Linked DNA regions of Sus scrofa. Each later gene encodes a partner of the first gene's protein in a complex. Links are inferred from orthologs where the notes say so. Each region holds a gene or a part of one and is shown in the gene's direction. Other genes may lie near its edges.

Region 1 (5,700 bases):
TTTTTCTGAATTTTTTACTTACATTAGCATGCTTTTTAAAAACATCAGCCTGGGTGGGCTGGTTTATTCTCATTAATGTTTTTAAAGCATTAAACAACTAAATTCTAATAAACTTTTGACTACTTTAGAAGTGGTTTCACAGCCTATCTTTACAGATGGAGAAATGAAGGTAAAAAGATAAACTTCATATCAGTATCAACAAAGTGTCTTTAGTTCAGACTTTTGTAAAGTAACCTCACGTGCTGCCTTGAAAAATGTCACATGTTAATTTTCTAAATGACAGCTGTATTGTACAGTAATTAATATTGTCCCCTTGGGTTTTGGGTAGTAATTTATGTAATTTTTTTTGTTTTCATGTAAAGTATTACAGCATGATAGTTTTTTTGTTGTTCTCATTTGACATTTAATAGGACTTTGGGTTTAGCCTGATGATTAATTAGGTAAGGAGCTCTTCATTTGACTAGGTATTTGCAAGCTAATGAAATGATTCTTTTTAGTTCTTATTAAATGACAAAAGATTTGTTGTAGTTTTTAAGGTACATTAAATTTCCACTGGACATTTTAATTTTAACAAAGCAGTTTTGAATATGTATTTTAAACACACCCTAACAAACAAAAACTCCACATGCCTATCAGTTAACTACTTTTACCACTAAATATTGTGCTCTTTCTTTTTAGTTGCCTGCCAATAAAGATGCCTTTCGAAAGACATGGAACCCCAAGTATACACTACGTAGCCATTTCGATGGAGTACGAGCATTAGCTTTTCATCCTGTAGAACCTGTGCTGGTTACTGCCTCTGAGGACCATACTCTGAAACTTTGGAACTTGCAAAAAACAGTTCCTGCCAAAAAGCAAGTATTTTAATGTTAACCTGTGGTTTTTTCCTTCCAAATTTGCTAATTATAAGCAATATTCTTCTTATGGTCCTGTGTCTTTTATGCACTCGTTTGATCTTACCTAGTGACTCTTGAATATCAACCACTGATTTACGATTATTTGTCCCCCCCCCTTTTTTCCCCTCTTTTAGGAGTGCCTCTTTAGATGTAGAGCCTATCTACACATTTAGGGCCCACATGTAAGTTTTTTGAATTAGTACTTAATTAACAATCATAGTTCTTGTTAACTATTATTTGTCGATCTTGAAGCCTTGCAATTTTCTCATGTTTGTTTTAAATTAGAGGGAGTTCCCATCGTGGCTTAGTGGTTAACGAATCTGACTAGGAACCATGAGGTTGTGGGTTCCATCCCTGGCCTCGCTCAGTGGGTTAAGGATCCGGCATTGCCATTAGCTGTGATATAGGCCGCAGACGCGGCTCAGATCCCGCGTTGCTGTGGCTATGGTGTAGGCCAGCAGCTACAGCTCCGATTAGACCCCTAGCCTGGGAACCTCCATATGCTTGGGTGTGGCCCTAGGAAAAAAGAAAAAAGAAAAGATAGATTAATTGACTAATATTTCATTCGATTAATAATTGTGTAGTAAGAATATAATCAGTATTGTTCAAATGTATGTGTTTATCTAAACTGTTTTAGGTACCACATAAATTTAGAGAAAGGTTGGGGGGATGCAGATATGAGTTTCTTCTTAGTCTTTGTAAGTAATTGTTTTCCTCTTTTTCTGTAATAGTGGTCCTGTTCTATCATTAGCTATTAGTTCTAATGGTGAACAGTGTTTTAGTGGTGGTATTGATGCAACTATCCAGTGGTGGAATATGCCTAGTCCTAATGTGGATCCATATGATACATATGGTAAGTAAAAGGCTCAAGATATTTTTTTAAGTGGATGGAGCAGACAAAAATAATTACCTCAACTATTATAAGATCGTTTAAAGATACATTGGTCTTTTCATTTACTAGTAATAGTACTTTGATTTACTAGCAATTTGCTTTATGAAAGAGAAAAATTAAGAAATACAATGCCATGAATATTTATCTTGCAAGAAGTATAGTTGATTTATAATATTGTGCTAGTTTTCAGGCATACAACACAGCGATTCTGTTTTTTTTTTTTTTTTGCGATTCTGTTTTTTATACACACATACACACACACACATATTCACACACATTCTTTTTCAGAATCTTTTCCATTATGGGTAAGGAGAATAACATTTAGTACAAGAAACAGTTTTTAAAACTTAGTTTATGTAGTTCATAAATATTTAGTGAGAGATGATAAAAACAAATAGAGACATGAGAGTGTGTAAATCAGTGAACATTTTAGAGGACCAAAAAATTCCTTAGTTAAGAAAACAAAACTTTTGGAATTCCCGTTCTGGCTCAGCTGAAACGAAGCTGAGGAGTAACCATGAGGATGCAGATTCTATCCCTGGCCTCATTCAGTGGGTTAAGGATCTGGCATTGCTGTGAGCTGTGTAAGTCACAAACTCTGCTCAGATCTCGTGTTGCTGTGGCTATGGTGTAGGCCAGCAGCTGCAGCTCCAATTGAGCCCCTAGCCTAGGAACTTCCATATGCCACGGGCGCAGCCCTAAAAAGACAAAGCAACAATAGCTTTAACTCACAAATGCCACTTTGAGAATCTAACAGATGGAGTTCCCGTCGTGGTGCAGTGGTTAACGAATCCGACTAGGAACCCTGAGGTTGCGGGTTCAATCACTGGCCTTGCTCAGTGGGTTAAGGATCCCGCGTTGCTGTGAGCTGTGGTATAGGTCACAGATGCGGCTCGGATCCCGCGTTGCTGTGGCTCTGGCGTAGGCTGGCGGCTACAGCTCCGATTGGACCCCTAGCCTGGGAACCTCCATATGCCACGCAGGAGCGGCTCAAGAAAAGGCAAAGAGACAAAAAAAAAAAAAAAAAAAAAGGAATCTGACTAACAGAAATATTTGCACACACATTAAAATATATACAAGGGCAATTGTTTATAATCAAAAAAATTAAAATGGAACAGATGTTTATTAGTGCGAGAATGGTTAAGTAAATCGTGGTCTACTTAATCACTGGCTCATTTAAAAAGAATTCACGAGCTCTTTGATCTTTTTATTTAACACACACTTGAGGCCTAAATTTGCCAGGTGTAGTGTTAAGCATACATCAAGAAATAAGACTTGGCGTTCCCCTGGCAGCTTATTAGCAGGTTAAGAACCTGACTAGTATCCATGAGGATGCGGGTTCCATCCCTGGCCTCGCTTAGCAGGTTAAGGATCCAGCATTGCCTCAAGGTGTGGCGTAAGTTGGCAGATGCAGCTCAAATCCAGTGTTGCTGTGGCATAAGGCTGCAGCTCCAGTGAGACCCCTAGCCCAGGAACTTTCAAATGCTGCTGCTGCTGCTGCAGCCCTAAAAAAAAATAAAAGAGTTCCTGTTGTGGTGCAGCAGAAACAAATCCAACTAGGAACCATGAGGTTGCAGGTTTGATTCCCTGGCCCTCACTCAGTGGGTTAAGGATCTGGCATTGCTGTGGCTGTGGTGTAGGCCAGCAGCTGTAGCTCCGATTCGACCCCTAACCTGGGAACCTCCATATGCCATGGGTGCGGCCCTAAAAAAAAGACAAAAGACCAAAGAAAGAAAGAAAACTTAGTCTAATAGAAAAAGATAAGCCTTAAACACATAAGCAAGGGGATGGATAGTTACACATTATGGTATGAAGTATGGTATGAAGATAACTGATACCTACCAAGAGAGGAGAGTAACAGGCAGAACCCTATTTAGATGTAGAATAAAATAATGGCATTCAAGCTGAAATCTAGAGAATAAAAGTTAAACGTTTAGTAAAGAGTTTTAAGCTAGGAAGTGTCCTATAAATGTAGAATTTAAAAAGATAACTCTTGCTGTTGCAAGGAAAATAGATTGGGGGTGGGAAGAGTGGAGAAAAAAATATCAATGTCATTTAATGTAAAGTTGTAACAGTGATTCCAGTAGATTAGGTGAGAGATAATGTTGTCAAGATTAGAGTGGTCGTAGAGCAGTGGTAGCAGAGCACTTGGAGAGAAATGGATTTAAGGCATGCTGGATTGAAATGTCCATGTACTAAGCCTCAAAACAACAATAAAATTCTCAATTATGAAAGAAAAAAAAAAAAGACATGCTGGAGAGGTGGGGGGAATAGACAGAATATATGATAAATTGGATTAAGTGGATGAAATGATGGATGAGTGACTTATTCTTTAACAGCTTTATTTAGGTACAATTCACATGATAAAATTCACACTTTTGAAGTATACATTTCAGTAGTTTTTACCATATTCACAGGGATGGGCAACCATTACCACTGTTTATTTCAGAACTTTCGTCACCACTCCTGCATTTTTGGCATGAGCAATTGAGTATATGATGGTAGCATATTGAAATGGGGACAGACAGGTGTGAGAAGATAAAGGATGGTGAGTTCAGTTTTTTGGCATGTTAAGAGATGGTAATCTTAAGTAAGTATATCAGTATCAAGATGTGAGAATGGATGGTATTATGTAGGGAGAATATGTCATGTAGAGTAGAAAGAGAAGACAAAATCCTGAGGAACTCTGACATTGGGGGCCAGGAGTAGTTAGAGCAAGAGAGGCAATGAAGAAAACTGAGAAGGAGTGGCCTGTGAGGTAGGAGGAAGTACAGGTAAGTGTGGAATCATGAAAGCATACCAGAAGAAGAAGCCATTTTGAAAAGAAGAAAGCAGTCTGCAGTAGTCATTTTCAATAAATAAGAAAAGTCTAATGTGATAGGTTCCTTTTTGTAAATAACAAATAGGTCACCCAGGCTTTGGCCAGACAATATAGATTGGGTTGGGGCTAAGGGGTGAAGGGACTTCTAAGTAACCTTTCAAGGCATACACTATGGATGAAAAGCAATGTGCTAGGAGGGAGGGAGGAAGGGAAGCAAGTTTTTATTAAATTTGATAGAATAGAGTTTATTGGTTATTTTAGCAAGGGTTGTTTTGCTGTGTGATGGTATCGGAGTGATTTCAAGAATAAATGGGAGGTTAGAAAGCATGTTTATTCAATATATTTTTCTACTATTTGGTGGGAGGTTGGTGTAATTGTTTGGAGCATATTTGCTTGCTGTGGTAATTATTCCAAGGAGGAAGAGAATCTGTATAGTAGAAAAACTGTAAACATGAAAGCAAGTTAGTGTTTTAAGGGGAATCCAGAATACCTGGTGGAATTAGCCTGTAATAGGAAGGAGGATAATTCCTTACTTGTATGAGGAAATGTACAGAAGATGGCTTTAGACACTAGTAGCTTTATAGGTTGGCTAGAGGAAGATAGAGGATGGGTTCCTATTTCAGTGCTGCGTTTTTCCAGTGACATTGAGAGAAAATTGTTCATGAGGGAGGGAGGGAGGTTGGGAAGTGGGAGTGTTGCAGAGATGAAGAGAAATATCTGTGGAAGCTGGGAATTTAGTAGAGAAACCACATTGTAAGACAAATGATGTTCAGGGTAATTAGCCACCATTGTCCATCAAATAATGATTGGATGAATAAAATGTAGTATATCCAGGTACTGGAATGCTATTTGGCAATAAGAAGCAATGAAGTACTGATACATGCTCCACGTTAGGCTAAGTGAAAGAAGCCAGTCACAAAAGGCCATTTGTATGAAATGTCCAGAATAGGCAAATGTATAGAAAAAAAATAGATTAGTTGTTGCCCAGGGCTACAGAAAGGCAGAGAGAAAGAATAGGGGAAATAGCTAAAAAGTAATGAAAGTGTGCTAAAATTGATGTGGTGATGATTGCACAACTAAAAACCATTGAA
Region 2 (6,404 bases), on another chromosome or scaffold:
GTACAGGCCCTGCCCCAGCCCCTGGGGGCTGCTGCTCAGGCCTCCTGCCCTGCCGACAGTGTCGCCTAAAAGGAGCCCTACACCACGTGCACGAGCTCTGCAGCCTGGCTGCCCTCTGTCACCGGGCGCCGGTTCCACGCCTCAGGCTGCTGAGGCGCCAGGGCCTCGCCGGTGCTCCGTGGCGGGGCTGGACGCCAGGACACGCGCCCACCCCGCCGAGGGGCGTCGGGTCGGCTCCTGTTTGGGGCGACTATGAACAGGCCTGCTGCAGACACTCCCGCGCAGCTGTTCGTGTGAGGGTGAGTTTCCATTTCCCAGCCGAGGGACTGCCGGTCTTGTGCAGGGAGTGTGGCTGACTTTCCACGAAGCTGTCCGCGTGACCAGGACCTCGGAGCTTTCTGGGACAGAGGACTTTCCGTGCTGGAACCTGGGAACTCCGGGAAACCGGGTGGTCGGTCGCCCCGTCTTTGTCAGCACTTGGTGCTGTCGGTGCAGCCATTCCAACGCGGGTAGTCAGTCTCTCACTGCGGCTCGGTGCACACTTCTCTGGTGGCTCACGAGGTGGCACAGCTGCTCTCGTGCTGTGTGCCATCGGTACATCCTCTGTGAAGTGTCTAAGTCTATCCTCAACTTTTCTCTTTGGGTGGTTTTTTAACGGGTGAGTTTTGAGAACTCTTTATATATTCTCTGTACAAACAGTTGGATAATGTGATGTGCAGTTTTTTTTCTTCCAGTTGATAGCTTGTCTTTTCTCTTTTTCTTTTTTTCCAGTACCCTATGGCACATGGAGCTCCCCGGCCAGGGACCAGACCAGAGCTGCAGTCACGACCTCAGCTGCAGCCGTGGCAACCACAGCTTGTCTTTTTTTTTCTCTCTCTCTCATTTTATTTATTTTGTTGTCTTTTGTCTTTTTTTTTTTTTTTAGGGCTGTACCTGCAGCATGTGGAGGTTCCCAGGCTAGGAGTCTATTTGGAGCTGCAGCCGCTGGCCTACACCACAGCCACAGCCACGTGGGACCTGAGCCATACCAGCGACCTACATCACAGTTCACGGCAATGCCAGATCCTCAACCCACTGAGAGAGGCCAGGGATCAAACCTGCAGCCTCATGGTTCCTAGTCGGATTCGTTTCCACTGTGCTATGATGGGAACTTCTCTAGCTTCAAAAAAAAAAAAAAAAAAAATTATTAGAGCTCCCGTCATGGTTCAGTGGAAACAATCTGACTAGGAACCATGAGGTCATGGGTTCGATCCCTGGCCTCGCTCAGTGGGTTAAGAATCTGGGTTTACCCTGAGCTGTGGTGTAGGCTGCAGAGGAGGCTCGGATCTGGCGTTGCTATGGCTGTGGTGTAGGTTGGCAGCTATAGCTCGTATTAGACCTCTAGCCTGGGAATCTCCCTATGCTGTGGGTGCGGCCCTAAAAAGCAAGAAAAAGATTTTTTTATTTATATTTGGCCTTGCCTGTGGCATATGGACATTCCCAGGCCAAGGCTCGAACCCACACCACAGCTGTAACCAGAACCACAGCAGTGATGACACCGGCTCCTTAACGCCCGAGGAGGGAACTGTCCTTTCATTCTCTTAACAATGCCTTTCTGAAATCGAAATTTAAAACATTCGATGAAATCAAATTTATCATTGCTTTACAGCTGCATCCTTGTAAATGTTTTGGTAAAATGTAAATCACACAGAGCACACACGGAGACTATTTTAAGTGTACAGGTCACTGACGTCAAGCACGTTCACAGCGTTGTGGGGCCATCGCAGAGCTTGGTCTCCACTCCCGATGGAAACCCTGTACCCTGTGGTGTATCCCTTCTCTCTTCCTCCAGCCCCAGGAAATCTCAAGCACCTCTGCCTCCTGAACTGATCCAGTCTTGAGAGGTCATCGAAGCCGCATCACACGGTATTTGTCTCTTTGCGACTGGCTTATTTCCCTTGGCATAACGTTTTCATCCACGTTGTGGCATATAACAAAAAACAATGCCTTTTTAATTTTACGTATTTTGAATTGTGATAGCTTACACCTTAAAGCATTCAGTTGGGCAGTGCTGTACAATTATCTCCAGAATTCTTTTCACCTTCCCAAACTGAAGCTCTGTCCCCATTAAACACTCACTTCCCAGCGCCCGCCCCTGCCCCTGGCACCCGCCTGTCGCCTTTCTGTCTTCAGGACTCCAGGCACCTCACACAGGTGGGTCCAAGCACTGCTTGTCCTTTTGGGACTAGCTTATTTCGTTTAGCCACCGTCTTGGCGGTTGGTCCCTGCAATGGCCCGAGTCAGCACTGCCCTCCTACCCCCGGGCACGTCTGGACCGCATCTGGGGACCCATTCGTTCCTCCCCGACACGCGGGCGGCTGCAAGAGGCCTGAAAGATAGAATTGGAGTCTTGAGCCCAGGCCCTCGGAAGGGGAGCCGGAGGACGGAAGGCGGGGCGGGGGGGGGGGGCGACCGCAGAGCTGAAAGGTGGGGGCGCCCCAACCCCACGGCCGCCGGGCGGGCCCCGCCTGGCCCCGCCCCAGCCCCACAGGCCCCGCCCAGCACCGCGGCCTGGCGGGAGACGTAGGCCCAAGCTTCTCAGGAAGCCGGACTCGGAGTCCCAGCGGGCACCGCGGCACGCTTGCGGGCCGCTACACCACTCCGCCCCATGGCCTGCCGGGACTTGTAGTCCAGGGTCTGCGTGCGCCCCGACCCAGGGCGAACGAGGGACTCGGTGTCCCAGAGAGCTCCGCGCCGGGCCACGACACCGTGCCGCCCGGGCCGTCGCTGACGCCGCCGCCGGGCTTTCTCCGGCCGCCGCCGCCACTGCCGCTGCTTCGCGGGCTGGAGGGCCCAGGCGTCCCTGGGCGAGCGGAGGCTGCGGGTGGGAGCCTTCGTGGGCACTGCGGAGCGGGCCGGGGGAGGCCGGGATGGAGCCCCCGGAGGTGGGCGCGCTGCCGGGCTGGCCCGCGCCTGGGGCGGTTGGGGAGGGGGCTGGGCGGTGCGGGGAGTGAGGCAGGGGGAGGGCCCCGAGGGGGCCGGCGAGGAGGGCACTGGAGGCGGAGCTCGGCGGTAGGGGGACCCGGGGGGGGGCGCCGGGGGGGGGCGAGGGCACCGGGGGCGGGGTTGGGGCGGGGGTCCCGGCGGGGGTCCTGGCCGGGGTAAGGGGTCTAAAGAAGGAGCAAGGCTGCGGGTGGAAGTGTGAGGGCCGCCGAGGGATGCCCCGTGTTGGGGAGCTCCTCAGGGAGGCGTCGGGCCGTAGCGGGGCGATGAGGAGAGCGCGGCGGTGGGGGCCTTTAGCGGAGGGGCCCTGTGACTCCAGCCCGCCCCCGGGGCGGGCCGGCCCGCCGGTCCCCAGGGCGGCAGGGAGCCCCGCGTGCCTCGAACCGAGCAGGCCTGCTCTCCCTCCAGTTGCCTGAAGCGAGTGGGCCGGGCTCCGGAGCCTCCAGGCAGGATCTCGGGGCCTCCCGAGGTTGCAGCGGATGGTGGAGGGCGGCGCAGACATGGCTCACCTCAGGGGCTTTGCCAACCAGGTAAGGGTTGGCATCCGGGGAGAGGGGTGTGTGTGTTTACCGGAGCACCGACTGCAGAGGCTAAGCAAGGGCGCTTCCTCCAGGACTGTCATCCTGAGGTTTCAGAGGAGCGGTCCCTCCGAGGGCGAGCGTGGGGTGAAGGGAGGCGCGGGGGAGTCCTGCGGAGCGCGTCGTGGGCGAAGCGGGGAGCAGTCTCGAGGCGCTCAGACTTGGTGAGCGCAGGGGCGACTCAGCTTGGCCAGCTTGCCCAGTTGTGTGGGGCAGAAGCCCACAAGCTTGGCAAAATAGAGCCCCAGTGCAGGGGCAGCAGAGGCTGTGCAGAGCCCTGTGGTGGGAACAGGGCAGGGGCCGCTGGCTCTGGTGGGAATCCTGCCGAGCATGAATCTGCACCTGGAGAGACCTGCAAGGTCAGGGTCCACGCTGGGGCCGCAGCCTGGGCGGGGACACAGGCCGTGTTGTGCTGGGCAGGGGCTGTGCTGACGCAGCTCTCGAGTCTGTGCGCGGGGAGAGCAGAGCACAGGAGAGGATGAGAGGGCTGCTCCCGGGCCACAGGTGCTCCTTGGGAAGACACCCACTGCCTTTCTCTTTGGGGGACTGGGTCTTGGGATTGCCAACAGCAAAAGCCATCTGGGGGTGTCTGGCCTTGAGCGGTAACTGGCTGATTCCGGGGGACCCTCCAAAGCGCACCCTGGGTTGTGTGGCACATGGTTTGTACTTTCCTCTTGTCTGTTATTGGGAAGCAGGTGTGATCTGCAGCTGGTAGGACGTGGAGTGTGCCGCTCTGGCTCTGGTAGCCAGGTTTTCCTGTGGCCACTGCTTGGCTTTGTTTTCCTCGGCCGCCTGCTGAAAGGTGTAAGGCAGCGTCCTCGGGTGTAAGGCTGAGTCCCCAGGCTGAGTCCGCGAGGCCTGGGCGCCAGGGGAGCAGGAAGTGTGTATCCACGGGGCGGGGGAGGGGCTGGGGTCAGGATCGGCTCCACACCCAACAGGCTTCCTCGCAGAAACCTGCCACGTGCTGCCGCCGGGCAGGGCATCCTGGACTAGCCGTGCCACAGGTGGGCACTGGCACTTCTGCTGATGCTGAAGCCCGCTGGCAGGTCTTTCATTCATCTTTGACATCTCGTGTCTTGTAAATTACATGACGGAGAAGCTGGGAGAAAAACCTGGCTTCAGCTATTTTTAAGAGCTGTAGAAATGGGTCCCGCGGGTCCTGGAATAGGAAGTTGGAGCTGAGCCACCCTGTCCCTGTGTGCTGGTGGCACTAGGGGCTTGGCTTGGGTGTCCAGACCAGATGCCCAGGGAAGGGAGCACAGCCCAGAGGAGCTGAGGAAGGGACCCTGAAGGAAGGAAGCCCCTTTTGTCCTCTGGGGCGGAGAGACTTGGCCTTTGTCAGTGGCAGGAAGCCTGACAGGACATTGTTTTCTCTTGCGAGGGTTGTCACTGTGGCCCTGCGAGGCGGTCCCTGTGTGGGGCAGTGCGGTGAGCTCCCCCACGGCCCGCAGGGGGCCCTCCACTCCTGGCCTCTGCCCGGCTGGTTCCTTGTTCCTACCCTGCCCGCAGGGTCTGGCTGGCTGCAGGAAGCTCATTGGCTGCCACCCATCGTGGGGTGGTTGGGGGCCGTTGGGCACCCCTCATTTTGTGGGGCGATATGACCAGCAGACATACTGCCTGGTAGTGGCCACTGACCTCGCATGCCCAGGGCTGACCAGAGGACAAGGGTCTGGACTGCCAGCAGCCTGAGCCCTTGTCTGAACCACGCCCGTCTCTGGAAGGGGAGTGCAAGGCCAGCTCGGGAGCAGTTGTCCTTCCTTCCTTCCACCAGCTCTGGCCGCAGGTGTCCCTGTGATGTGCCTGTAGGGTCAGGGTCACAGCCAGGAGCGCTCCCGTCATGCTGTCTGCTCAGGAGACTGACCCACAGCAGTGGGGACCCAAAAAGTGTGACGTTGGGACCAGAGCTCCCCCCACTGCTGAGTCTGGAGCCCCTGGTCCAGGGGTCTGCCCAGTTCCCTCAGGAGCCGTGGAGGTCTGGGCACCCAGCTGGGTGTGCCTCTCGTCAAGCCGTTGGGGTGGAGAGTGCAGGCTGCAGTGAGAAGAGGGAGGCCTGAGGGTGGGAGGGGAACCCGGAAAGCCCGAGGAACAGTGCTGCCCGGCCTCGGTCCCACCTCCTCCAGGTCCCCTCTGAGGCCCCCTTGGAAGTAGAGGCACCGTTTCTAGGAGCCCTGGCTGGATGAGCTGGGGGTGGAGGCCCTGCAGGCCAGCACTTAGCTGGGTGCTCAGGGGCCTAGTGAAGGGGACGTGGGGGCACTGGGCCAGGTGGCATTTGGGCCCAGTGCCCAGGGGTTTGGGGGGGTGCAAGCGGGCGGGGGCTGTTTCCTGGTCTCTGTGGGAGGCCGTCTTCATGCTGGTGAGTCTTCATGCTGGTGACAGGCTCGCAGAGTCCTTGAGGCTGGCCACTCAGGGCGGGGCTCTGATCTCGAGGTCCCCACCCCAAAGACAGCTGAGCAGCTGGGACTTTCAGAATATGCGTAGCAGGGGGAGAAAGTGTCCTCACGGGTGGCCTGAGGAACCCAGGTGGCAGCCACCTGGCCCTGTGCTGCACTGGCTGCAGCTTCCGCGGGGGAGGTGCGAGTGGGCACCTTGGCTCTGGCCACCTCATGGAGGCCGGCCCACCATGCCGGGGCCTGGCCCTCGGCCCTCCCTGCTCGCCTGGCCCCGCTGGCTCCCCCTACGAGGCCCTCTTTGGGCTCACGTGGCCCCTCTGTTTCCAGACCTGGGGAGGCAGCTGTTGGCACGTGGGATGTGTGCCGCCTCTGTCCGGAGCCCGCCTGGGGCTGAGCCCAAGGGCTGGCCGTGCCGAGGTCAGTGCGCTGCCCAGGGCTGGGCCCCCTTGGCTCC
Region 3 (5,670 bases), on another chromosome or scaffold:
TTAAGGTGTGATGGGAAAGGGATTAGTCTGGGGGTCGTAGGATGTGTGCAGATAATAACAAAGAAACAGCCTTGCTAGTTTTCATCCTTTTTTCCAATTTCCAGTAAATGTAACGAAAGTATTTTAAAGCACTATTTGGAAATACTTTAAAAGTTTTACTTGATTATCGAAATCCTGCCATGTGTTTCTCTGCTTTTAAGAAAGCCCTGCCTGCCCGTTTGCTGGTAGGTAGGCCACCTTTTGCCCATTCGGCTGTAACAAGTGGGCAGCAAAGTAGCGAATTTAATTTGGTTGCCTTGAGCCACTTCAGAAATAGAATTACCTAGTGTCCTATGACATTTTAGTTGTCTTCCTGTCTACAGACATGCTTTTATGCCTTTCAGCTTAATAACTGCAATGATTTCTTATCACTCCGTGCAATCATAGAGCCTAGAAATATTCACGCATCCTGCCTCTTTGTTCCTTAGCGTCCTACAGCTAAAGAACTTCTGAAACATAAATTCATCGTAAAAAATTCAAAGAAGACTTCTTATCTGACCGAGCTGATAGATCGATTTAAGAGATGGAAGGCAGAAGGACACAGTGATGATGAATCTGATTCTGAAGGCTCTGATTCGTACGTGCAAATTATTCAATTTTTATGTAGACAGCACATTTTAATATTACAACATCTTTTAACTACAATCCAATATGCTTTCCCAAGCATAAAATATAAACTCTGCTCTAGAGTTTGACTTTAGAAACTGGCCATCTTTTAAAATCACAACCTGTAGAGCACAATGAATTTGGAAACAGATTTTTTTCTTAGAAATGAATTGCTTTAGTTTTAAATGGTCTTGGTCTAACCCCTAGTGGATACTTAAGTATATTACAAAATTTTGGAACAAGATTCAATTTAAGGTGTTTTCTTAGTTTGCCCAAAGTGATACGGAGCTATGTCTTCTCATACTTTGGAGGCAACCTGCAAAATCCCTCTGGAGAACTAACTTTTCCCACTTTTCTTGGCCATGTACCAAAATGGTCAGATTGGTACATACTTATTTATATCTGATTTCTATCCCCTAAAATGTTGCATTGTTTTTTAGCTGCAGCAATTTACATTACCATTTTAGCCTCTAAGTCCATAACTTACTTAATTCAGCCTAAAAAGTCTGCCGGCTACACCAGCATTTATTCCTCCACTGGGTGAACTGATACCGAGGTAACACCAATTTTTTTTAGATAATACCTGCATTTATGAGAAATCTCCCAACTTTTGAAAAGGATAAAAAAAAAAAGATCAGGATAGGGGTTCCCACTGTGGCACAGAGGGATTGGGAACCTGGCACAGTGGGTTAAGCATCCGGCATTGCTAATACCCACGGCTCAAATCTGATACCTGGCCCAGGAAGTGTATGTGCTGTGCAATGGCTTAAAAAGAAAAAAAAAAAATGAGGATGGTTTTTTGTACCCTGTTCTACTCTCTGTTGCCTTAGCTGCCCATGACACTCACCCATGAAGCCTTAAAAAAAAAAAAAAACAAATCACTAAGCCACACTACAGGGGATCCTGATCCAGTCAGTGGGAAGGGGTGGGGGCCGGCCTTTATATTATGGAGTTAGAGGTCTTCACATGTGATTCTGGTACACACTTTAGAGTTGAGAACCACTGCTGCTGTCCCGTAGAAAGTAGTGTCGACTTGAAGCTGAAGATCAAATGATTTTTTAACACATCGGGACAGTTTTCCATTCAGAATCTGACAGCATTGACTTGGTATTTTCACCACCTATACCATTTAGGAACTTATGGAAGTATCTTTGGCCATCTCTTTAGGGAATCCACCACCAGGGAAAATAATACTCATCCCGAATGGAGCTTTACCACCGTGCGAAAGAAGCCTGATCCAAAGAAGCTACAGAACGGGGCAGTATGTATATCCAGATGTTCACCTCCTCTTGTTAGGACTAGATAGTGCGATTATGATGGCCAAACATTGTTAGAATCGAATACCCCTGAATGCCTGTCCGTTAGTTTTGAGCTAATTAAGAAATGATCAGAGAAGTCTTTTAAGTGGCCATTGGTATGTTTTAAAATGCATTTTCCCTAGAGATAGCTAAACCCGGTGGAAACAGGTCTATCAGTTGGAATCCTAGAAGTTAGAGGCCTCTGGATGATATAGATGGGAGTTATTGATGGGAAGAAAGCATGAAGACTTGCCTTACATTGGGTCTTTGGGGGGAGGGATGCAAATTAACACACATGAATGATTATTTTCATTTCATGTATATAATTTATAACATTTGTTCAAAGGAGCAAGATCTTGTGCAAACCCTGAGCTGTTTGTCTATGATAATCACACCTGCATTTGCTGAAGTAAGTACAGATTCATTAGCTTTGGAGATCTATTTGAAGAAGTATAGTAATTGTAAATGTTATAATTATTGATCTTTCTCAGCTTAAACAGCAGGATGAGAATAATGCTAGCAGGAATCAGGCAATTGAAGAACTAGAGAAAAGCATTGCCGTGGCCGAAGCTGCCTGTCCTGGCATCACAGATAAAATGGTGAAGAAATTAATTGAAAAATTTCAAAAGTAAGCTTGAAATGTCATTTTTTAAAATCGATTTTGGAGCGTTACCACTGTAGCTCAGCGGGTTAAGAACCCGACAGTGTCACTGAGGATGCAGATTTGATCCCTAGCCTCGCTCAGTGGGCTAAGGATCCAGCGTTGCCACAAGCTGTGGCATAGGTCACAGATAATGGCTTGGATCTGACATGGTTGCTGTGGCCGTGGCATAGGCCGGCAGCTGCAGCTCCAGTTCTGCCCCTAGCCTGGGAACTTCCACATGCCACGGGTACAGCCCCCAATAAAAGCAAAAGGAAACAAAAGAACAAAACAACTATTTTGACATGTTACTGCTGGATGTTCATTTATGGTGTCATAATTACCTACTTGATTCAGTCATTTCGATTATTCCTAACCAAGTCCATTCTTAATAGTCACATACTTGAAACCTGTTCTGTTTGTGGCCCATCTTCAACACTAGCTTTTGGATTCTTCTCTTCGGGCAGTACAAGGTAGTTTGCCACTGAATGAAATGGCCTGTGGTTTTTTTTGGTTTTGTTTTGTTTTGTTTTCCTTTCCCTGTTCGTAGGCAGGCGTATAGACAAAAGGTCACAGGGCATGATCTTATTTGGACCCTTGTAAATACCATTTAGAAATGCTTTCATTCTTGCCACTCTTCTTATCGCACTGCTATTCACATAGTTTCAGTGCCAAAGTTCATCAAGTTTAACCCCCATAAGAAAAGTTAAGGAAAGAATTTTAGGTATAGAAACTCAGTGAAGACTCTGAAAGGTTCTCATGTCTATATTTCAGTGTCTATAGTGCCTCTTAAAGTGTTGGTTTAATTTTGTTCACATTCAGTGAAGTTCTTCCATTTAATTTTTTAATTCTCTTTTTAAACAAGACTTTTGTATGCATGTACAAACACACGCAATTCCTTAGCTCAAGCAAGTTATAGAGCAGTACTAATCTCAGCCTTAATCTCGTTATATCACTTCTTTGTATTTGTGATGCCACTGGGATCAAGTTGGAACAGACCAGACAGCCTGTAAACCACATACTCTCCTAGATCTTTCTTGCTGATAAAGTCTGTTTGTACTCATCAGCTAAAGCCCCTCTTAAAATCCTTTCGTTTTTAATGGAAAACCTGCCCTCTCTTCGCCAGCTTGCAAACGAATCAGTTGCAAGTTGTAAAATCGGACGCAGAAGGGATTTTGGAACTCCTTTCTATTTTAATGTCTACATGATGAGAGGCAATAGAAAAAAAAATTGTTTGCTGCATCAACTCGATTGCAGAGTTCATATGAATGAAAAATGTGCACATGCATAGTTATATATCAATTTAAGTTTTTCTTAATTTTATAGGTGTTCAGCAGATGAATCCCCCTAAGAAATGTCTTGTTATTGGCTTCTCTTTCATATGGACCCAGAGAAACCCACCAAAGCTACTTCAAGCTTAACAATGCTTAACTCATGAGCTCCATGTGCCTTTTGGATCTTTGCGACATTGAAGATTTGAAAGAAGCTATTCAACTATTTTGTGATGGTGTTTATCATTTTATATTTTAAAGAGATTATTTTGTAAGAAATAACTTTTAATACTATAGTTTCAGCTGTATTCTAGAAAAGGTTGAGATACAGTTTTGCTTTTAGGTATCATTATTACTTAAGTTACTAGGATGAATACCTTTCATGTTTTGATCTTTAGTTAACTGTACACTCATGAAACATACAGGTATTTCACAGTCATCCTAAATATTCAACTTTCGTAAGTCATCAAGCTTCAAAAAGCTTTTTTTTTTTAACACAAGCATATTCTAAAAATGACTCTTGGAAGGGAGGTGGAGACAAGTCAGACATTCTTAAAACAGAAGTTTTTTTGATAAGCTTTTAGAAATGACATCTGGAAAGGTATTGACTCTTCTACCAAGTTGATGGTATTCCAGGCAGCTCAGTGACAATCACATTGGAGAGCCCGGTGTTGGAAGCATTTATAGGCAACATGTAGCAACAGAGGTACCTCTTGGTGTGCAGTATTTACCTTCTCTTTTAGAAGAGGCAATTGACCCTTCTTTAAGTTAACACGTTGGAAAGTTAAAGCAATACCAATTAGCCGAGGATGGGTTTTTTAGTAATACTGGAAGAACTAGTCAGGATTCATTTTTAAAATCACCTCAAATCACATATCATATGCTTGGATTTGGGGAGCTCAAAAGAAGCTGATCATAATGTGATCATAAATACCTGATCAACAGGTATGACTATAATTTACACCAGCATATTTTTGGCATGGTAGTAAAATGTCTTATAAACTATTTATACATTTTTTTTTTGTTCTTCAAACTATCCAGTACATGTAAGCATCATTTGTTCATTTTTGAAAGGGTATTTAAGCATTTTTTGATTCACATGAAAATAATCATAGTACAGGATGATTTCTGCCCGCACAAAGGTAAGTTAGACTGTACAGTTAAATTTTCAGTTATATTTATGGTACTGTTACGTGGGTAATACCTTTTTCCTTTAAGCCCAGTATATATATTATGCTTGCCTAAGTTCTGAAGTGGGGCTATATTTCAGTAGTTGTAGAATTATTGATATTGATTAGTTTTAATAGTTAATGTTTTATTGTTTGGATCTGCACAATTTGGTTTTTGCACAAAAGTCATTTTAATACATCTGAATAATTGCCAAATATTAGAAGAAAGGTGTTCTTGAAGTAAAGAGTATAGTTTTTACAGTGGCCATTACCTCCTCCTTTTTTTGTAATAATGCAGACACTTGAATAAGTAGTTCATTGCGCGTCATATGCCCAGCAGATTTTTGCATTGGTGCCTATACTGTAACAATTACTTTTAACACGTATTTTGAAGTAATAGTTCAGTTAAAATTTTCAGCTGCTGTGTAACGCTATGTAATTGCAGTTTATAATTTGTAGAGGTCTGGTAATAGTTTTGCAAATCACATCGTGTACTAAATGAATATTTTTGTAAAAGTAAAAGCAACAAATTTTTAAATTGATAATTTGAAACTTTACAGCGCAACTGCATCATGGATAAAAAATTGTATTGCTTATTCATTAGAGCTATTAGTCCTGTAAACTGTTTCTGGGTGAAGCGTACTTCA
Region 4 (5,700 bases), on another chromosome or scaffold:
GGTCCAGGTTGCAGAGGGAAGGGAAGTGGCATTGCTCCTGAGTCCCGTTCTCTAGATGCTTCCTCCACTGCAATTGGGCACAGCGAGTTTAGGACCAGGCTTGCTGTCCATCATCCCCACCGACTGCCCGTGGGGAGGTCATGGCCAGGTCCCTGGGTGGTGGGAACAGGCAGGTGAGTCCTCTCCAGGTCATGACAGGTAGAAATCTGGTGCCACTGCGGTGACCTGGCCGGTACTTCCGCCTTTGTGTTTCCTGGTGGTGGAGCGGATGTGAGGTTCTGACCTCCTTGTCTGGAGTTGGGCTCTTTGCAGCGTGGTGACAGTAGCAGGTTGGTGGGCTGAGTGCACAGCTGGTGCCCCCATCCCATTCTGGACCTGCCTGGGCGTGGGGGCTCCTGTTTTCTTTGCAGCGCCTGTCGTCTTTGCTGGGGTGGTGTCGGCTGCAGAGAAATCCCGTCGAGCAGAGCTCCTCCAGGCGGCCTGCTCGTTTCGTTCCCATCACACGGTTGGCGTCCCTTCCTCCCCCGCCTGGAGCCAGTGTGGTCACAGCGCAGGCCGGGCAGGAGGGGGCCGGCAGCTCGGCACCGGCTACCCCCTTGATGCCCTCGTTCCTGCCTGCAGTGACCCTGGCCAAGCCTCTGGGTGTAACTGACCTGTCATTGGCCAGGACGTGAGGCTCTAGGAGAGTGTGTGGCAGACAGCAGGAAGGATCCAGATGAATCCAGAACTTGGGGTCCGTTCCTCCATTAGGTCAGTGCCACTGGGCAAACCGGGTATGGTCCATTTAGATGAGAAGAGCCTTAGACCACCTAACAGCCCATTGTAACATCTGGACCTTGTTTAGATCCTGATTCAGACAAACCAACCAGGGCAAGAGTTGTTTTGAACAGTTGGAAATTTAATTAGTACATGGTCTTGAGGGAGTGATACTAACTTCAGGTGTTGGAAGTTCCTGTGGTAGCTCACTGAGTCTGACTAGCATCCGTGAGGACACAGGTTCCATCCCTGGGTTAAGGGTCCGGCGTTGCCGTGAGCTGTGGTGTAGGTTGCAGACGAGGCTCGGATCCCGCGTTGCTGTGGCTGTGGTGTAGGCCGGCGGCTACAGCTCCAATTGGACCCCTAGCCTGGGAGCCTCCATATGCCACGGGTGAGGCCCTTAAAACACGTGTGCATGTTCGCTCCGCATCCCGGGCGCTGTGGGACGTCCCGCACAGCCGCCGGTTCACAGAGGAGCGAGCTGGCGCCCGGGAGCGGCGCTCGTGTCACAGGACTGGCTGTAGAGCTGGCCTTAACCCCAGAGAGCCGGGTGCCTGCTCCCGCTTCTGAGCCATGCCGGGTTCTGGGTATGGCTTGATGGGGTGGCCTGCAGGTGTGCCTCTGGCCCCCAACACGCCCTCTCTGCCCACCTCTGGTTACCTGTGCCCTTGACTTGGGAACTTGAGTGAGCGCGGAATGCCGCCCACCTCCGTCAGCCCAGGAAGGAGGAGGCGTCAGTCACGGTCAAGGCCGTCTTCCTTGTGGACGGCGATTGCTGTGTTGTGAAATTTTCTCCTGTGTGTCGCCTATTTCGAAGTTATACCAAGGGCTCATGCTTACAGTTTTCAGTTAAAAACAAGTGTCTTCGTCGAGAAGCACGTTGAGGTTTTCTCCCCTGGGGACGCTGTCCTGCTCCGTGTCGCTAACAGCACCCTGTCGTTGCAGGCGGACATCTGGTCGCTGGGCATAACGGCCATCGAGCTGGCCAAGGGGGAGCCGCCGCACTCGGAGCTGCACCCCATGAAGGTTTTGTTCCTCATCCCGAAGAACAACCCCCCGACGCTGGAGGGCACCTACAGCAAGCCCCTCAAGGAGTTTGTGGAGGCCTGTCTCAACAAGGAGCCCAGCTTCGTGAGTGTCCCCCGGCCAGGGCGGCTGCCTCCCGGGGCGCCTGCGGCGTCCAGATGCGTCGCGCTGACCTTGCTCCAGTCGCGGTCAGCAGCTCTCTCCCTCGTCTCACCGCTGTTTCTTTTTCGAAACGGCGATGATTGGTTTCTTTGAATGGCAAATCCATTTTTATTACTTTCTCTCTTAAGAATTAGAGGGCGACGTAGTGTCTTTCGGATGTTCTAGCGCCTCCTTCCTCACGGAGCCCGAAGCCTGCTCCCCTCGCTGCCTGCTCCCCTCGCTGCGCGTGTGGACGCCCGCGTTTTGAACCCTTGGCCTGCAAGGCCGGGCTATTGTTAGCTCTTTCAGCAACTGCAAAGTCTGGCCTCAAAAGTAATGGCTACGTATGTCTTTCAAGCGAGTGTTTTGAGTTTCTTCTTGGCCCGCATGAGGAGGGAGAAGAGGGGGCCCAGAAACGAGCCTACCGTGCCTCTCGCCCCGTCCTGCCTCCGGCGTTGCTCTCGCCTCCGGCGGGGCCGTGTGGCCGTGACGACTGCGTGCCTTCAGCCCGCTGTTCTCTCTGCGTTAGGATGTTTCTTTGAAAGTTATTTGTGCATTTTAGGGTCACATGTAACACCGCATGTTCTTGTTTTGTTTCTGAACTTGCCAGCAGGGTCACTGCAGGTTGGGCTGAAATTTCTCACCTCCCTTCTCCCCTCCCCCATCCAAAAAGCGGTGGTTGGTTTCACCAGAGCACCATGGCTTGCGAGTGGGATGGCAGTTTTGGTCACAGGATTAAGTGGGGATACAGCCGTGTCTCGGAACCTCCGGGGGAGGCAGAATCCACCTCTCAGTCAGGCCGCGTGGGGACTGTTCTTTGTGTTTGTGAGGCTGTGGACCTTGTCCCAGCCTCAGAGGAGTCTGTCTTCTCATCACCAATCCATCCCTGGCGTCGGCTTGCCTGCCCGGGACCCACGTCGCCACCCCCACCTTGGTCCCAGAGGCACTGAGAGGCTGGACATGGGGGTACGTGGGAGAGTCTTGGAGTGTCACACTCACTCGGTCAGGGAATGAGAAATGCCCAAAGGGGCCGGGTTTGTTCCAGCTTGAGCTGGAGGCGCATGCCTGGCCCTTTGTAACTCAGAGCAGGTGGGGCCGCGGTCTAACCTGGGTGGTGTGTGTGTCCCTGCTGTCTGCCTGGTTTTCTGGGGCCACATACACCCTGAGGTGGGTTTGCCATCCTCAGGACAAGGCAGTCGGCTGAGCATCTGTGTGGCTGTGGCCGTGCTGAGCCCAGGGCCTGGGACTCCTCGCCCCAATCACACGGCGAGAGGCACCTGGGGGCGCCGGCGTTTAAATTAGGAGAGCTGAGGACCTGGCCACTCTCTCAGCATCCAGGAAAAGGGCATCTCCTGGCTCCTTTCTTCTGGATGAAGTGAAATGAGCATTTATCTTACTATTTTGGGGGGTGGAGTCAGAGACTCAAGTCCAAAGTTGACAGGGTGACAGGGAACACGTTTCCCTCTTGCCAGCATTGGTGTTGATGATTGAACGAGCTCTGAAACGCTCTGTGACGTTTTCTGCGGAAGCGCCCTCTTCCCCCGAAAGAGGCATTTGCCTGGAACACGTTCTCTTGCTGTCGCTGGAAGGTTACCTCCCGGCTGAGCCACCAGAGGCCTCACTCAACCAATGCCGGCACCGGATCCTGCCCGCAGGTGCCAGGCCACGTTCTTGCAGTCTTAGAATTCAAGGACAAAACGCAGATGTAGGTCTGTCTTTGCACAGAAGCATGGTCGTCGGCAACTTTTTAGGGTAGAATCGAGTTGAATGTAGAGAACGTGATCTCATGATGTTCTTGTTTCGCCCGGTGGTGGGTTTTCCAGAGACCTACCGCTAAGGAGCTACTGAAGCACAAGTTCATTATCCGCAACGCAAAGAAGACATCCTACTTGACCGAGCTCATCGACAGGTACAAGAGGTGGAAGGCCGAGCAGAGCCACGAAGACTCCAGCTCCGAAGACTCCGACACGTGAGTCTGCTCAGCTTGAGCCCAGGGTGTCACCGTGTCCCCGAGCCAGGCCACACCTGCCCCGGCCTCTCGGGCCTCCTGTCTGGTTTGGGGTGGGTTCGGGTTTCTTTCTCTTCCTTCTGTCTTTTTAGAAGACGGTCCTGGCTGATGGTGCGTCTCGTGTCAGGATGGGGCTGTATTTGGGTGTTTTTGAGCCTTTTTTTGTGGCCAGTGGGGTTTCTCTGAGTAAAGTCTGTGATAGAGCTGTGTGTAATGAACTCGACTTGGTTTCTTATTCCTTTATCCCTCCAGCTCTTAAAATACTGATCAGATGGAATTGCTTTATGTTTTAAAAAGACAGAGATGAGTGTTTGTGTGATTCTGGGTTGTGCGTGGTGTATGCCTGACAGTGTAAAGGCCCTGTACCAGGAATGGCTCTACACTGGCCTCCTCCGCTAGGAAATTCCTGATCTGAAAGGCGCCTTAGGTCAGCCTGCAGGGAGGGGGTGCTGGGCCGGCTGCTCTGACGTGAGAAAAGAGGCAGCATGAGAGCGGCGTCAAGAGGGGCTCATCCTTGGCACCTTGTCTGTGCCCCTTCACCCCTCGGCCAGAAGTGCAGGTGGACGCATGGCCCAGGTCCACGTTCCAGGCCCATGGGGTGAGACCTAGAGTGTTGTTCAGGGTCGCAGGCAATTCCATCGTGAAGTCAGCAGTGAGAGCCACTGGCTGGGCCGCTGTCGTTGAGGTCAGGACATTGAGTGCTGGGGTAGTGGCGAGGGGGACGGATGGGGACGAGGCGTCCAGGCCTTACCGTGGCTCTCGGTAAAGGAGCTGGAGGCCATCCCGGCTTCCGTCGCGGGTGCCCTGACGTGATAACACTGGAGAAGATGCTGGTCCGGGGGAGCCAGGGTACCGGAAGCTGAGTGGGGACACATTTGGACATCCAAGAGGATGTGTTCAGTTTCGGGCAGCAGCAAGGTCTGGCGTTGAGGCCAGCTGCCCCAGCACGTGGCCCGCCTTAGGGTCGCGGCTCTGTGGGTGGTCTCTGGACGCCCGAGAGCACGTCTGCCGGGTGAGAAGGGCCAGGGGCCTGGGACCAGCTCCGGGGGAAACACCAGCATGAGAGGTGGCCGTGGGACTGGACGGGCGGATCTGGGTGCAGTGCCAGCCCAGGAGTCTGGAGACTCTGGAGGGGGTGAGCAGGGGGTCCTCGCTGCTGAGCGTTCAAGCTGGACGAGGACTGACCAGTGGTTCCTTGCCTGGTGGAGGCCTTGGCTGTGGCGGTTGTGGGGGTGGGGTGGTTTTGGAGTGAGTGGCAGGTGAGAAACGGAGGCGAGGCCTGCAGGCCCTGTGGCTGCGGGCAGGCAGGTGCGCTGGGTGCGAGTGGATGTGCTGCTGGGAAGGAGCCCAAGGGGAGGGGTTCAAGTCCGGGAAGGGCAGCCGGAGCAGAGGGGGCGGTTCTGGAGAAGGGGCGGGAGGCCTGGTGCGGGAGGGGACAGCAGCCGCACTTGGAGGTGGCCTGTCCTCTGTGAAGCAGGAGGCCCGGGAGGGGCTGGTGGGGCTGGAGGGGCGTGGAGAGGCTGGAAGCAGGTTTGCAGTGCGGGGTGGAGACAGGCACGCCCGGTGGCTGGGTGGCCTTGGGTGGAAGTCCCCATCCTCGTCCCGTCCCCTGTCCAGGGGACTCACTGGGATTTCTGTGTTCAGGGAAACGGACACAGATGGCCAGGCATCCGGAGGCAGTGACTCTGGGGACTGGATCTTCACAATCCGGGAGAAAGATCCGAAGAGTCTTGAGAATGGAGCTCTTCAGCCGTCGGATTTAGAAAGAA

Evidence for each region.
Region 2: STRN3 (region 1) and STK25 share a complex: the UniProt entries of both Homo sapiens proteins name them as parts of the core of STRIPAK complex. The link is inferred for Sus scrofa from reciprocal best matches to the Homo sapiens genes STRN3 and STK25.
Region 3: STRN3 (region 1) and STK26 share a complex: the UniProt entries of both Homo sapiens proteins name them as parts of the core of STRIPAK complex. The link is inferred for Sus scrofa from reciprocal best matches to the Homo sapiens genes STRN3 and STK26.
Region 4: STRN3 (region 1) and STK24 share a complex: the UniProt entries of both Homo sapiens proteins name them as parts of the core of STRIPAK complex. The link is inferred for Sus scrofa from reciprocal best matches to the Homo sapiens genes STRN3 and STK24.

The regions. Positions count from the first base shown.
Region 1 is NC_010449.5:68,557,202-68,562,901, forward strand, and holds part of STRN3 (striatin-3), read left to right. Parts: intron 1-678; coding exon 679-854; intron 855-1,030; coding exon 1,031-1,078; intron 1,079-1,627; coding exon 1,628-1,749; intron 1,750-5,700. UniProt on the Homo sapiens protein: Calmodulin-binding scaffolding protein which is the center of the striatin-interacting phosphatase and kinase (STRIPAK) complexes.
Region 2 is NC_010457.5:140,150,683-140,157,086, reverse strand, and holds the start of STK25 (serine/threonine-protein kinase 25), read left to right. Parts: upstream 1-2,776; 5' UTR 2,777-2,863; exon of another isoform or gene 2,864-2,924; intron 2,925-3,390; 5' UTR 3,391-3,461; coding exon of another isoform or gene 3,462-3,512; 5' UTR 3,513-6,404. UniProt on the Homo sapiens protein: Oxidant stress-activated serine/threonine kinase that may play a role in the response to environmental stress.
Region 3 is NC_010461.5:108,233,336-108,239,005, forward strand, and holds the end of STK26 (serine/threonine-protein kinase 26), read left to right. Parts: intron 1-467; coding exon 468-616; intron 617-1,812; coding exon 1,813-1,906; intron 1,907-2,289; coding exon 2,290-2,352; intron 2,353-2,434; coding exon 2,435-2,571; intron 2,572-3,909; coding exon 3,910-3,934; 3' UTR 3,935-4,334; downstream 4,335-5,670. UniProt on the Homo sapiens protein: Serine/threonine-protein kinase that acts as a mediator of cell growth. Modulates apoptosis. In association with STK24 negatively regulates Golgi reorientation in polarized cell migration upon RHO activation.
Region 4 is NC_010453.5:67,467,098-67,472,797, reverse strand, and holds part of STK24 (serine/threonine-protein kinase 24), read left to right. Parts: intron 1-1,701; coding exon 1,702-1,887; intron 1,888-3,746; coding exon 3,747-3,892; intron 3,893-5,575; coding exon 5,576-5,700. UniProt on the Homo sapiens protein: Serine/threonine-protein kinase that acts on both serine and threonine residues and promotes apoptosis in response to stress stimuli and caspase activation.